3 linked regions of the Oryza sativa Japonica Group genome follow. The protein of the gene in region 2 binds, or shares a complex with, the protein of the main gene of each other region. Links are inferred from orthologs where the notes say so. Each region holds a gene or a part of one and is shown on either strand. Other genes may lie near its edges.

Region 1 (4,113 bases), about 3.1 Mb from region 2:
CCAACAAATATAAAGGCTCGTGGTATGCCAATGAATACTGCACCATAGCCCCCCAAAAGCATTCCTACTGTCGAGAACATATTTTATACGCAAATAATATACGAGTTACAAATTGTTTGAAAAAGCTCTAGTTTGCCACAGAAATAAAATCAAAGTTCCATGTGTCCTAACTAAAATTACAAGTACAACAAAAATCGGGAACAACAGATTTACTCCTTGAGTTATACGAAGGATTTTTAGAGATTTTATTTTTCAAAATTGAAACATCGACAAGTGATTCTGAAGACAAAGATTTAAGGCAAATAACATTAAATCATATGGCACATTGGATGCAAGGCAATCTGAAAATAAAAGACCATGCACCCATAAATGGACCAAATTTCCTTCAGAAACCTGACCATCAGAATTCAGAACACTATAAAAGAACATTCCTTACTTTAACCTCTAAATTGTAAAGAATTAAGAATCAAATGATCCTATACATTCAAGAGAGAATATGCAATTAAATCCTGCTCCAATATATCCTAATATTTCAGAAATAAGTATAGCCTTATTTTTTAAACCTGATGTTAAGTATCAGGAATGGATAGACAGATAGTAAGAACTCACCACATAATCCCATCCATGCTTTTCAGCAAATGCCTTTGCTGAATCTGCACTGTCAAACGTAAGCCCTGCTTCACCAACATTAGCATATGGATCTCCAGTAGATGTCCATCCCATTAATGGGTTCTCCCACCTATTATTCACACAAATGTTAGAAGGGGAAAAAGCGGCAGCAACTGAAATAGTAATATCTAATTGTATGCTAGAATGCTATATAATAAGGAGGTGATACATAAAGCTAAATGAAGTAAATGCATGAGACATAAAAGAAATGAAATAGACTAAGTACACACTGTTTGACCAAACCAAGGTGACCACCTCAATGAGAGGTCAAATGCATCAGTTGCAAGGCTTTCATTGTACAAAAAAAAGGGGGGGTAATCTCACGTTAAAGGAAAAAAAGAAACAGACTTCAATCGTCAATGAATTCTTCTGTTATGAATGTAAATCAAGTTTTAATATGAGACTATTTGTTTTCATTTGATATATTATTGAGGCAGTTCACCAAACAGCAACACAGGGTTTGAGGTAAATAATTCATGAAAATGAATCAACAATAACCAATAAAACAAAACTGGAAACATACTTTTGGGTTGACACAAAGTTGATTTTCCACCTCCCGACTTTGCCTGAACCCTGCTGAGATGCAGTCCTAGCGGGTGAATATATTACAACCTGCAAATACACAAGGATAAGTTGATCATGTCTTCCCAGCTAGGTAGTTGAAAAGCATACAGTGAGTCTTAAAAGAACAAAAGTGGCAGCAACAAAAATCATATTTTCTTTACAGTATAAATATTTAAACCTATCTGAATAACACAATCCTGTCGTAGGCCATTTAGAAGGCCGTTTACTGTATAAACACTAAAAGGTGGGGGAGACCACTTGTTAACAGTCTAATGATCTACAAGAACATAGATCACAATCAAAATATTTTCTAGGGCTCACTCTGTATAATAAATCTGCAAAAACATAAGATCTATTGATGTGTAGGCATCCTCTCTCTGCAGACAAACATAAGGTTGATAATACCATGAAAAATGTGACTGAAGTGGTGCTATCAGCATTGGGCCATATCATAAGATGCTTCTAAGCTCTTTGAAGTTAAGACGGATCTTTGAAACAACAGAAGAATTGATCATCAAACAATATTCGTATTAACGAGATTATGTTGTAGAGAAAACTATTTCATGGAAGCTCTGTTCCTCAGAAGTCAGAACAAGAAACTACCACTCTACAAGTAGGCCTCTACATGGATTTTGAGGTAATTACAAGAACTATGAAATGGTATGAAACAGACATTAGTTCATAGTCCAACAAGTTATCTAAATTCAATAGCTAAGCATTGCTAGCAATTTCATCTTTCTTTGTATGCAGTTAGTTCTATCAAATGTATTTTTAAGTTTGATGTACACCAAGAAAATGGATAAATAATAAGCATCCTAGCATCATCTAAACTCTGGTATGTACAGTTCTCTAACACCAATACTGTCAACTCTAATCACAAACAATTTGAAAGGTAAGAACATACACCTATATACATTCAGTCATTCACAGTACATAAACCAAATCAGGATAATTTGATCAAACTCTGTTGCCTCCAGCCCTCCACTAACATAATCTAAAGTGGGAGAACCCAACCTGGAGAGCAGCACATTCCTCCCAAGTTCTAAACGCAGTTCAAACCACACAAGCGTAAAACATCATCACCAAATTCGCATTTCTATCCACTCCACGATTCGAACGTCTACTAGCGATAGCACTGTAGTCCGTACGACGAGTTCACGACCCGACGCCTCCAGGCTCTATGCCTCTATCCCTAAACACGAGTAACGACCAAAACAACCCACCAAACCTGGACATCTCGAGCGATTCCCACACGGATCCGCGAGGGCTAGCCAATCTATCGCCACTACATAAATCAGAGGTAAGGTCAGCGAAGCACCGCACCTTGCGGCGGAGGTGCTCCTCGGGGATGCCGGAGACCATGCCGATCTCGCCTGGCTTGATCTCGACGAGGGCGTCGGACGCCGCCGCGGAGAGCATCCGCGCGGGCGCGGGGGACGGCGAGAGGAGCGTGCGCCCCAGGGAGGGGAGGCTCCGCCGGAGCGGGGCGGCCATCTCGTCGGAGCCGTACGCCGGTGAGGCGGATGGTGGAGGAGAGAAGGGGCGGACGAGAAGGCCGAAGGGGAAACACCGAGAGAGAGAGAGAGAGAGCACTTCAGAACTTGGGAGAAGAGACGGCTGGACCGAGGATATGTTGGAAGCAGCTCATGTTGGGCCAATCTTCTCGGCCCAGTGTTGTGGGATCCGATTGGTTTATGGGCCGGGCCTTGCGGCCCAGACTGGTGCGAATTCGATTTGTTTCTGTGTGCTGGGCCCAGTTATGGTCCAGTGGGTGATCTGCAGCCTTGGAGTTGAAGGCCCATACCGAGGTTAGACTAGCTCGTTGGGTTTTGGTCCAGATGAACCACTGACTTATCTGGGCCGGCAATGTTATATTGGGCTGCCTCTGGAATAATTCTTGATGGCCCTTTTGATAATTTATAGAATTCATTTTTCAGTTCCGTTATTTCAACTACACCGTGATGAAGTTCATCAAGAGCATAATCACCCATAATAAGTGTATTCAGATAATTTAATACACCATTTGGTCGTGAATATTTGATGGTTAGGCCGGACAATATTTGGATGGCAAATTTTACTACAAAACATCTAAATTTCGTGTAATTTGCTGATAGACATCGAAAAAACATTCACAAATGAAAGACATCTAAAAATACTAGTAATTTGTTAGAGAACAATATCGACTCAATTAAAAAGATAAATTCTTGAGAAAGACAAGAATGCCCCTAGAATCACATGCTTCAAACATAACGTTAAAGTACGAATTTAGAAATTATGCAACTCCAAATTTAGCATCACCCCAAGTACATCACTAGTATACGTGATATTTTATCTTCACCCTAGTCTCAGTTCAAAATCTTTTGACCGTGGGGGCATCCTTGTCTTTTTTAAGAACTTTTCTTTTCAATTGAGCCGAAAGTGTCATTTAGCAAATTATCAGTTTTTTAAGAGTGTCTTTCAGCCGTGACACGTTTTTATGATTTCTATCAACAAACACAAATTTTGAGTGTCCTATAGTTAACTTTACCTATTTGGATCTTACTTTTGAAACTTTAACTATCAATAGTCTTTGAAATGCTTAGTTTAAAAACAAAAGACTTGGTAGTATCAATGTTTTATGCCCATAATATAGACTAATTAAATTTTATAAACTTAATACTAATTGGCCGAAACTTGTTTTAAACGTTAACTATCTAGAAAACGAGGGAGTAAGTCTTTTGTATTTCGCCTAAGAATGAAAAGTGATTAACATTGTGTAGGAGGACAAATACGTATGACTATGATCACATGAAGTTCTGAAAAAAAAAAGATCACATGAAAATGCAAGATTACATCTCTAAATCATTTTCAATATCGATGCCAAAGAAATCCACAAATAAG
Region 2 (4,276 bases):
AACCACCAGGAATAATTGCAAGCAGGTTGTCCCATCCTCCTCTCACACCTCCACAGTGCTTTTCAATCAATTCCTTAAGAGGTATGCTCATTTCCTCCTCGACAGTGCAAGGTTTGTTCACATGACCTGAGACACAGAATAGTTTAGTTCCCGAGTTATTCTTGCGTCCAAAGCTTGCAAACCATTCTGGACCACGCCTGAGAATTGTTGGAGACACAGCCACTGTTTCAACATTTGTGACAGTTGTGGGGCAGCCATATAGGCCAGCATTGGCAGGGAAAGGAGGCTTCAACCTTGGTTTACCTTGCTTGCCTTCGAGACTTTCCAGTAGGGCAGTCTCTTCACCACAAATGTAGGCACCAGCACCAAAATGTATATGCACATCAAAGTCATAACCAGATCCACAAGCATTCTTACCAAGAAGACCTGCTGCGTATGCTTCCTCCCGAGCTTTCAAAAGGTTGAGACGCTCATTCACATATTCACCTCTAATGTAGATGTAAGCAGCCGATGCCCTCATCCCAACTCCAGCAATCAAACAGCCTTCCAGAAGCTTGTGGGGGTCATGACGCATGATTTCTCTGTCCTTGCAAGTTCCTGGCTCACTCTCATCAGCATTAACAACAAGATAAGAAGGGCGTCCATCAGATACCTTTGGCATGAAGGACCATTTAAGCCCAGAAGGGAATCCTGCACCTCCACGCCCTCGAAGTCCCGATTTCTTCATTTCATTCACTATCCAGTCTGCCCCTTTAAGCACCAAATCCTTGGTTCTATGCCAGTCACCCCTCTTCATTGCACCTTTCAGGAAAGGGTCATGCTGACCATAGAGGTTGGTAAAAATGCGGTCCTCATCTTTGAGGTCACCAAAGTGAGTCTTCTCCGGAGGTGGAGGTGGTGGTGGAGGTTGTGGTGTGCTTGATGTAGTAGCAGCCTGAGTGCTGAATGATTTGCCAGCAGAATAAAGGCCAGCACCTGTTAGAGAACGAGTAGGCTGTGCTCTCGATAGATAATGGAGGTACTCAAGTGCAGCCTGACAAGAAAAAAAAAACCAATTTGTTATCACAGCTTGATCCATGAGATGTGATTCAGGACAAAAAAAAGTTTGTAGTTACTTTACTACAATACGCCAATACTTGTCAAAAGCAAAAGACTAAAGTAATCTTCATTTGAAAGCTGACTAAGTATCCAAGCAAGTGTTGAAAGAAGCAAAATTAAGAACAACATGAACATCAAGAAATGATCAGAAATACAGAATTCTGATGCTCTTGCCTTCAGTTTTTAACTAGTTAAGTGAACTAGAATAGAGTAATTAGAACATGGTGACAAGGATCTCTACTTTCAACTCAAACTTGCTGCTGCAGGTAAATGGTAAATCAACGAATAGAATGGGAACAATTTTGCAGATTTAGAAACCAAAATAAATACATCAAGTTCAAATATATCAGCCCATAAGTGAAACATGAATTATATATAAGCCCAGCAGGTGCCTACAATGTTGGAGCATTATTTTAGAAGTATCTAAGTAACAAGAGAAAAGATCAAATGCTCAGTTGGCAGCAAGTTGGTGTTTTTGATAATCTCATTGCAGCATAGAGCATACCTGTCCTGATAAAGGACAGGTTTTCAGTATCTGCAATACGATTTTCCTATTTGTAGTAGTGGTTTTATATGCAAAGTAAAAACTAAGTAAGCCTACGAAAGGCATAAAAGATAGTATCACTTTGAGGTGAAGTATCATTTGTTGTGTTCTTAGTTGTACCCAAAGGAGAAGCCACGAAATACCAATATCAAACACATTTATATCCCTACAGAATGTAGCATATTCATAAATGCACCATGTTTGTTTAATCTATTGAAATAAGATAACCACAATACTGGTATTCCGCTCGGGGCATCAGGGAAACACTAATATAGTAGAAAGAGTAAAGATCGTTTCGCGTTTCAATCAAGTAAAGGAGTGCAGCACATGTTTTCATCAGCAATATTGAATACAAAGAGGTAGCAACAAGCCTGTAACTGAATGGTCATCTTCAGTTCAAAAACGAGCTTTTGAATTATTGTTCTCTATTTCAATCAAGCAAAGGAGTGTAGCACATGTTTTCATCAGCAATACCGAATACAAAGAGGTAGTAACTAGTCTGCAACTGCATGGTCATTTTCGGTTTTCACAAATGAGATTTTGAATGGCCTATCCAAGCAATTTACGGCATGCTCCGAGTATCCACGACATAACAAGAAACCACATCCGCAACAAACTGAAACTCGATCCTAAGCATCAAGTCGTAAACACTTTACAGCCAGAAATCCCTACAGAACTAATACGAAATGCAAAAGAGACGGACATGGAGCCCCTCCTAACTGTCCATCGGCATTCCATGCTCTACATCGGTTACTCCTCTCCCCTCGACCTATCCTCTACTCCCGGAAGAAGAAGAGATTCGTCGCCATGCGCGCACCACCAACACACATCGACTGGTGCAAACCCTCCTCCACCCTCCCACAGCTCAAACCCGCTACGCGCACTCCTCTCAGATTCTCGCAAAGGCGGTAACAGCGTTCGCGCCCCTCGTGGTTGGGGGATCCAGACCGGAGAGAGATGGGGGGGAAGGAGGAGAGTGGAGAAGGGCGGGGATTCGGACCTTGCGATCGGGGGAGATCTCGGCAGATCTGAGCAGCGCTCGCCGCAGCGCCATCTCCGCCTCCGCGCTGCTCCTCCGGAGCTCTCGGATTGGGGAGATCGGGGGAGGATTGGGGTGTGGTGTGCCGGAGAAGAGAGGAGAGGAGAGAGAAGAAGGGAGACGAGACGGCTGCGTGCGTGGGTGAGCTCCGGGCCAAGAGGAGAGGCAGCGAGCGTGAGGCCAACACACGGACGCGCTGCTCCCTCCGACCTGGAGTGCTAGCTATTGGGCCGGAGCGGAGCTTGGCCCATAATACTAGTTGGGCCGTTGTGGGGAACTTCCAGCCCGTATTATTAGTTGGGCCGTGACGGTGCGGCCTGCCGTAGTTTGGTATTGGCCCATATGAGGCCCGTAATGCTAGTTGGGCCGGGACGGTGCTGTGGCGAACTTCCGGCCCATATTATTAGTTGGGCCTCAACGGGTGACGTCACCGCCTCACCGGCTACGTCCGGTTTCCAACCCCGGCGTTGGTCGGCCACAGGCGCCACGGCGTCCCGAACGTCTCCACCGGCCAGATCGTCTCGTCGGAGCAGACAAAACTGCCGGAGCTCCGGGGCCACCGCGTGTTCGAGCTCACCGGCCGCCGGCGGCGAGGACGGACCTCGTTGCAAATAATTTTATTCTTGGTGCTACCATTTTGTCATGCTCTAGTAAGCATGCATGCTAACTACCTTGCAATATTCAGATGAATTTATATATGTTTGCCAAATTTATCATCTGCTTTCCCACAGATTCATCCATTTCAATTAAAGATTTCCACATCAATATAGGCTGGTTTGTTTTGTGGCCTAAATTAGCCTTACCAATTTTTGTCAATGCTAAATTTTAGCAAATTTTGGCATGCATAATTTTGGTAAGGCAAAGTTGTGTTTGGATTGAAGTCAAAATAGCCTAAATTAACTATTTAAATGACTTATTTTCTTAGGCATGCCAAAATTTGACTCCAAACCAAATAGACACTAAACGCTATTAAAATTGTCAAATATTGGTAAGGCTAATTTAGACCCCCAAACCAAACCATCCCTATAAGTCATGAACTGCGCAATATGAGGCAAATCAACAAGATCGAACTACCATTTTTCATGCTCTAAGCACGAATGCTAACTACAGCATTCATAGAGTTCTTACTGAACATTTTCGCTAATATAATCGTGCGGACATTCAATTCAGATGAAAAACTCATAAATGTTTGCCAAGTTTATCATATAGTTCCCCACGGATTCATCCATTGCGATGGAATATAACAAGTCATAAACTGCACAAAGATGAGGCAAATCAACGAGATCAAACTAGCTCTTGGCCTTATTAGGTCACAAACAGACAGATGAACAAATGCGAACAAAAGCATCAGACAGAACACATATGCACACGTGCAAATATTTAAAAAAACACAACCCATAAAAAGGAAGCACATGCCTGCATGGCAATGCAAATCGACTAATCGGGCTCGCCGCCTACAGCGACGCCAGCGACGCCGTGGCGGGCTTCGCCGGCGGGTAGCCGATCCCGTGGCGGGTGGACGGGAACACGACGAAGACGACGCTGGCGAGCGCGCCGACGACGACGGGGAGCGCCATGACCACCTTCTTCTGCTG
Region 3 (4,240 bases), on a different chromosome or scaffold from region 2:
AACTGAGTAAAACTTGTCGCTAGAAATATCAAAAGAATTATTTCGTTCAAGAGCAAAGCTTACAGGAGGGGTTTCTCCTCTTTTCAGCATCTCGACGATCTCAACAACTCGTTTAGGAGTGAGGTCCTCCTGAAAAGGGGAAATGGAAATGCTCAGTTACAGTACACAAATAAGTCTTTTCTTCCTCTCTCAGCAAAAGGCAGGCAGGTTTTGTTAAGTTTTATCCACTCGTCTTTTGTTACTCTGTTGGCATTAGTGCTTTCAGTGCCACAGTACTGCTATAGCATGGAAGTTTAGCAAAAAAATGTAGCTATGTTAGCATTATTTCTCCAAAGACGCCTGCTAAGAAGTATAGAAACCCAGGGGCCCAGCATCCTATAACATGCAAGTTTATATTCTTCAGTTGACAATGTTTCATTTTGTGCATAAACATGAACTAACACGAGTGGGCACCAGCTGCTAATTCTTACTAATGCTGTGATGTTTCTACTAAAATTTCCACCGCGTGTACTAGCATAAGTCATCAACAATAGATAATCGGATGCATCAATGTGTATACTTACATAATAGTTGTATGTGTAACCCTCTGAACCTTTAGAATAATCGGCCACAGCAATCATGGGAGCATTCACACAGCAGCCCTGTGAACATATAACAGAAAGCTGAATAAAAAGTTGCCTTGTACTTATGTTTTTTCATTAGAGTACTGAATCATTCACTGACAAAATCCTACAGACCATTCCTATTGGCTATAGTTAAACACTTAACTCAACTAGAACACCTATTTGCAAGCATCCAAAATGACAGAAAATTATAGATCTCGAAGTTACCATGCACTCCATTTCTCCAACAGAAAATAAACCATCACTGGTCACCTCTGCAAATGAAAGAAAAATGTTAATGCTATCACAGAGATAGCAAGAGAAACACATGCTCGAAGACCGTTTGTGGTAACAAATCAGGAAGTGTTATTCTTAGTTGATAGGATAAGTTATGTGAATAATACAAACCATTCCGTTTAACTCCAAGATGTTCTAACAAGGCTTCTTCAATTTCACGTGAACCACGAATCATGCAAGGTGTGGTTCCACACACCAAAAGGTGATATTTACCCACCTACATGGCAAAATAGGGTGAAAAGATGCTAGTGGAGGGATTAACAAGTACAAAATACTAAGTCATGCAAAGATACCTTAGTCCGGTTAAACATTGTGTAAAATGTAGCAACTTCATATACTCTGATTGGTGCAACTTCAACGATCTTAGCAATCTGAAAGTCCAAGACATGAAAATAGTATTGTCAGAAATGCTTTTTGTGAGCACAGTGGTGGTGGAATGGTGGTTGGGTCTATGTACAAAATATCTAAAATGTAACATAAGCTATAACACTCCCAGTAGCAATGTTATTGTAATAGTCCTAGTCCTGAGGAGATTAACTCAATTGTAATTATAATTATATAAATATGTCAACTGATATGCTGACAAGAACTTTTTCTTTTGTGATTGCCAACCCCCATTCTCCAATGCCTCTTACTATTAAGGCTCCTAATTTCCTAGTGTCACCCATCTTCAGTAGGACGAAGAAGTGAACAGAAACAAGGCCAGTGCAATAAGGTTTTGATTTATGAATGTCTGCTAAGCAAGTCCAATATAACTATAGCTAACGTGGGTTGTAACAACTAACAAATGTTGAGGTACATCACTTTCTGAAAATTGAAGTATTGAAAACAGGATATAGCACATTAAAGGCGGAAAACAGTTGATCATCGAAAGCTCATAAAAAAGGGACTTACAGCATTCATTGCTGCAACTGGCACCCATCCACCATGCTGCTGCTGGGCAAGATCAAGCATTGGAATAATACCAGACTGCTTGTAGTTGCTTGGATAGTGAGACAATATCTCATTAACCTGAATTAGTTATTGAAATAGAGATTTTAGGCCAGATAACCAAAATAGCTGATACAATTGATATAAACCGTATTCACAAAACCTAAATCCCATGTCAAAGGAATAGAACACTATACCCCACGTCTCTATTACATTTGGACATTTGCAGATTTGCACATTTCTAAAGGTTTTACATGACAGATAACGTTTCCCCTTCTCAAATAACCAGCAACCAGTTCCAACGTAAGATTATATTATTATCTAATAGTCCTGAATAAAATGGTACCCTAACAGCCATTTCTGAACATCCGAAAACAAAACTGAACAAATTCTGCCACAACTACTCCAAAACCAGCCACTGTTCCAATCCAAAACATAAATCACAGGGAAATGAATGAACGAGACGAACAACAGCACCTTCTTCATGTTGGCCTCCGTGAACTCCCACGGCATGTCGGGGTTGTTTTCCGGCGAATCGAGGTGCTGCACAACAAGCAAACCCACAAATCCGACTCATTATCATCCTCAGACAAAACAGACAGATCAGGGAAGAGGGTAGGGGGTGGATCCGAGGGAAGGGGGAGGCGCCTCACGTACGTAGTTAAGCGCCGTGGAGAACAGCCTGGAGGAGCAGCCCGCGGCGGCGTAGGAGATCTGCAACGAGACGTTGCCCCCGGAGGGAGAGATCAGGACGGCAAAGCTCCGCCGACGAACAGCGAGGAGATACAGAGGCATTTGGAGGAGGGGGAGGGGGGCACTGACCGGAGAACGGGACAAGCGTCGCGCCGCGGCCGATTCCGAGGCGGAGGAGGTCGCGAGCCCTAGGAGGCGGCGGGCCGCGAGGCGGGCGGCCGGCGGCAGCATGGTTGGCCGGCGGTGGGGGAGGCGACTCGACTCAGGCGAAGAGGGGGGAGGGGAGCGGAGTTGTGGCCGCTCGCGGAGGTAAGTAGCTCGGCGTGACGTCAGCAGCACCGGCCCAGTGGGCTCTCATGGGCTTATTGACCCAATCGGCCCAATAGTAATAATTCCTTCGTGTACTGGCAATTATAACGATCTTTTTTTTTTTGGTTGGGCAATTATAACGATCTACTGTCCGGATTTCGTAACAATAGGATTCTGATATATCATACTTCATACTGGATTGTTTATTTTAGTACGGAGGAAATATACCGGTAGATCACCAATCTTCAAGCAAAATGAATCGTCCTATATATTATAGGCCGAGTTTAGTTCCAAACTTTCAACTTTTCCATCACATCAAAACTTTCCTACACACAAACTTTCAACTTTTCCGTCACATTATTCCAATTTTGTGGAGATTATGGATACCCCATACCAACACGGCATTTATAATCCGACTGGGTATGGGGTGCCATGTATAGATAGAATATCTTTAAAGGGACTTGGGTTAAATTCCAAACTTGTATGTTAAGGAAATACCCGGGATCTTAGTCGGTTAAGATTGAATCTTATCTGTAACTACCTATTCCGTTAGGGATATGGACTGTATTTTATAATACGGACCCCTTCCCCTATATAAGGAGGGGTCCAGGTGCCTCTTAGGGCACGATCTGCTCCCAGATCATACGATCAATAATACACTCGGCAAATCAATCCCCGGACAGGAGTAGGGTATTACTTCTTGTTAAGAAGGCCTGAACCAGTATAAAATTCTTTGTTTCTCAACCCATCCACTTTTCCAGCTTGATAGCCACCCCCTTTTAGTATTGCCAAAATCTTGTTTCGACAATTGGCGCGCCAGATAGGGGTAGCGTCAAGTTCTTCGCCGATTAGTGCGATGGGTTTCGTCTCCGGCATCGACGACTTCGTCTTCCCTCCCGGGCAGGCGTTCCGGTTCGGCAGCCTCAACTTCTTCACCAACGACTTCGGCAAGATTTCTCTTCTTGACTCGGATTCGAACCAGTCGGGAAGAGACCAGGTTTCCGCCCCGTTCGTACCCCAAACTTGGCCGAGATCTACCCCAAGATCATCTCAACCGAGTTGGCCCCAAACCACTCGGACGAGATCCAATCTACTCCAACACGACCCGATGAAGACAATAGAGCCTATCCGCCAATCCTGATGAAACTCCTCAACGATTTGGCTGTCGTTTTCACCACAAGAGCGTCATCTCCCCGTAGGTCTAGGCGGGATCCGCCCTGGCCCCGATCCAGTCTAGCTCTAGGGAAGTCGGTGTCATACTCCAGCCTCTCGGCACGGTTTCGACGAAACAGTTGGACGGCTACCTCAGCTCCCCCGGTGTCGACTCACGACCAACGGAGATCGTAGAGTACGACGACTTCGGCTACCGCTACGACTACCGCAACCTCGACGACTTCGACGAAGGCTAT

The links. Proteins that work in one complex are often made in the same cells at the same time.
Region 1: the proteins of NADH dehydrogenase [ubiquinone] flavoprotein 1, mitochondrial (region 2) and NADH dehydrogenase [ubiquinone] iron-sulfur protein 4, mitochondrial are in contact, whole or in part, in a cryo-EM structure (PDB 8BED), measured with the Arabidopsis thaliana proteins. The link is inferred for Oryza sativa Japonica Group from reciprocal best matches to the Arabidopsis thaliana genes CI51 and FRO1. Residues at the interface, in NP_196470.1 of Arabidopsis thaliana: Gly131, Arg132, Pro133, Glu237, Arg247, Leu248, Pro250, Pro251, Tyr259, Gly260, Cys261; in NP_201560.1 of Arabidopsis thaliana: Tyr140, Ser141, Phe144, Trp146.
Region 3: the proteins of NADH dehydrogenase [ubiquinone] flavoprotein 1, mitochondrial (region 2) and NADH dehydrogenase [ubiquinone] flavoprotein 2, mitochondrial are in contact, whole or in part, in a cryo-EM structure (PDB 9F5X), measured with the Chlamydomonas reinhardtii proteins. The link is inferred for Oryza sativa Japonica Group from reciprocal best matches to the Arabidopsis thaliana genes CI51 and AT4G02580. Residues at the interface, in XP_001702590.1 of Chlamydomonas reinhardtii: Asp58, Glu59, Arg61, Phe63, Gln64, Asn65, Ile66, Tyr67, Arg69, His70, Met78, Ser79, Arg80, Gly81, Tyr84, Met85, Glu88, Ile89, Lys92, Trp96, Gln100, Tyr133, Glu142, Pro143, Gly144, Thr145, Cys146, Arg149, Glu150, Arg153; in XP_001698508.1 of Chlamydomonas reinhardtii: Thr42, Arg79, Tyr80, Pro81, Tyr84, Gln86, Ser87, Ile89, Ile90, Pro91, Asp94, Val95, Glu125, Val126, Phe129, Tyr130, Thr131, Met132, Phe133, Gly147, Thr148, Thr149, Pro150, Arg152, Leu153, Gln154, Glu184, Met185, Glu186, Cys187.

What each region holds. Positions count from the first base shown.
Region 1 is NC_089041.1:24,023,864-24,027,976, forward strand, and holds the start of NADH dehydrogenase [ubiquinone] iron-sulfur protein 4, mitochondrial, read right to left. Parts: upstream 2,805-4,113; 5' UTR 2,728-2,804; coding exon 2,557-2,727; intron 1,282-2,556; coding exon 1,193-1,281; intron 740-1,192; coding exon 610-739; intron 1-609.
Region 2 is NC_089041.1:27,139,130-27,143,405, reverse strand, and holds the start of NADH dehydrogenase [ubiquinone] flavoprotein 1, mitochondrial, read right to left. Parts: upstream 2,809-4,276; 5' UTR 2,697-2,808; coding exon 2,643-2,696; intron 1,034-2,642; coding exon 1-1,033. Other genes in the region: protein DMP2, read right to left, coding at 4,136-4,276. UniProt on the Arabidopsis thaliana protein: Core subunit of the mitochondrial membrane respiratory chain NADH dehydrogenase (Complex I) that is believed to belong to the minimal assembly required for catalysis. Complex I functions in the transfer of electrons from NADH to the respiratory chain.
Region 3 is NC_089039.1:25,329,359-25,333,598, reverse strand, and holds the start of NADH dehydrogenase [ubiquinone] flavoprotein 2, mitochondrial, read right to left. Parts: upstream 2,805-4,240; 5' UTR 2,754-2,804; coding exon 2,652-2,753; intron 2,544-2,651; coding exon 2,487-2,543; intron 2,373-2,486; coding exon 2,307-2,372; intron 1,911-2,306; coding exon 1,794-1,910; intron 1,271-1,793; coding exon 1,193-1,270; intron 1,117-1,192; coding exon 1,011-1,116; intron 878-1,010; coding exon 831-877; intron 642-830; coding exon 564-641; intron 130-563; coding exon 64-129; intron 1-63. UniProt on the Arabidopsis thaliana protein: Core subunit of the mitochondrial membrane respiratory chain NADH dehydrogenase (Complex I) that is believed to belong to the minimal assembly required for catalysis. Complex I functions in the transfer of electrons from NADH to the respiratory chain.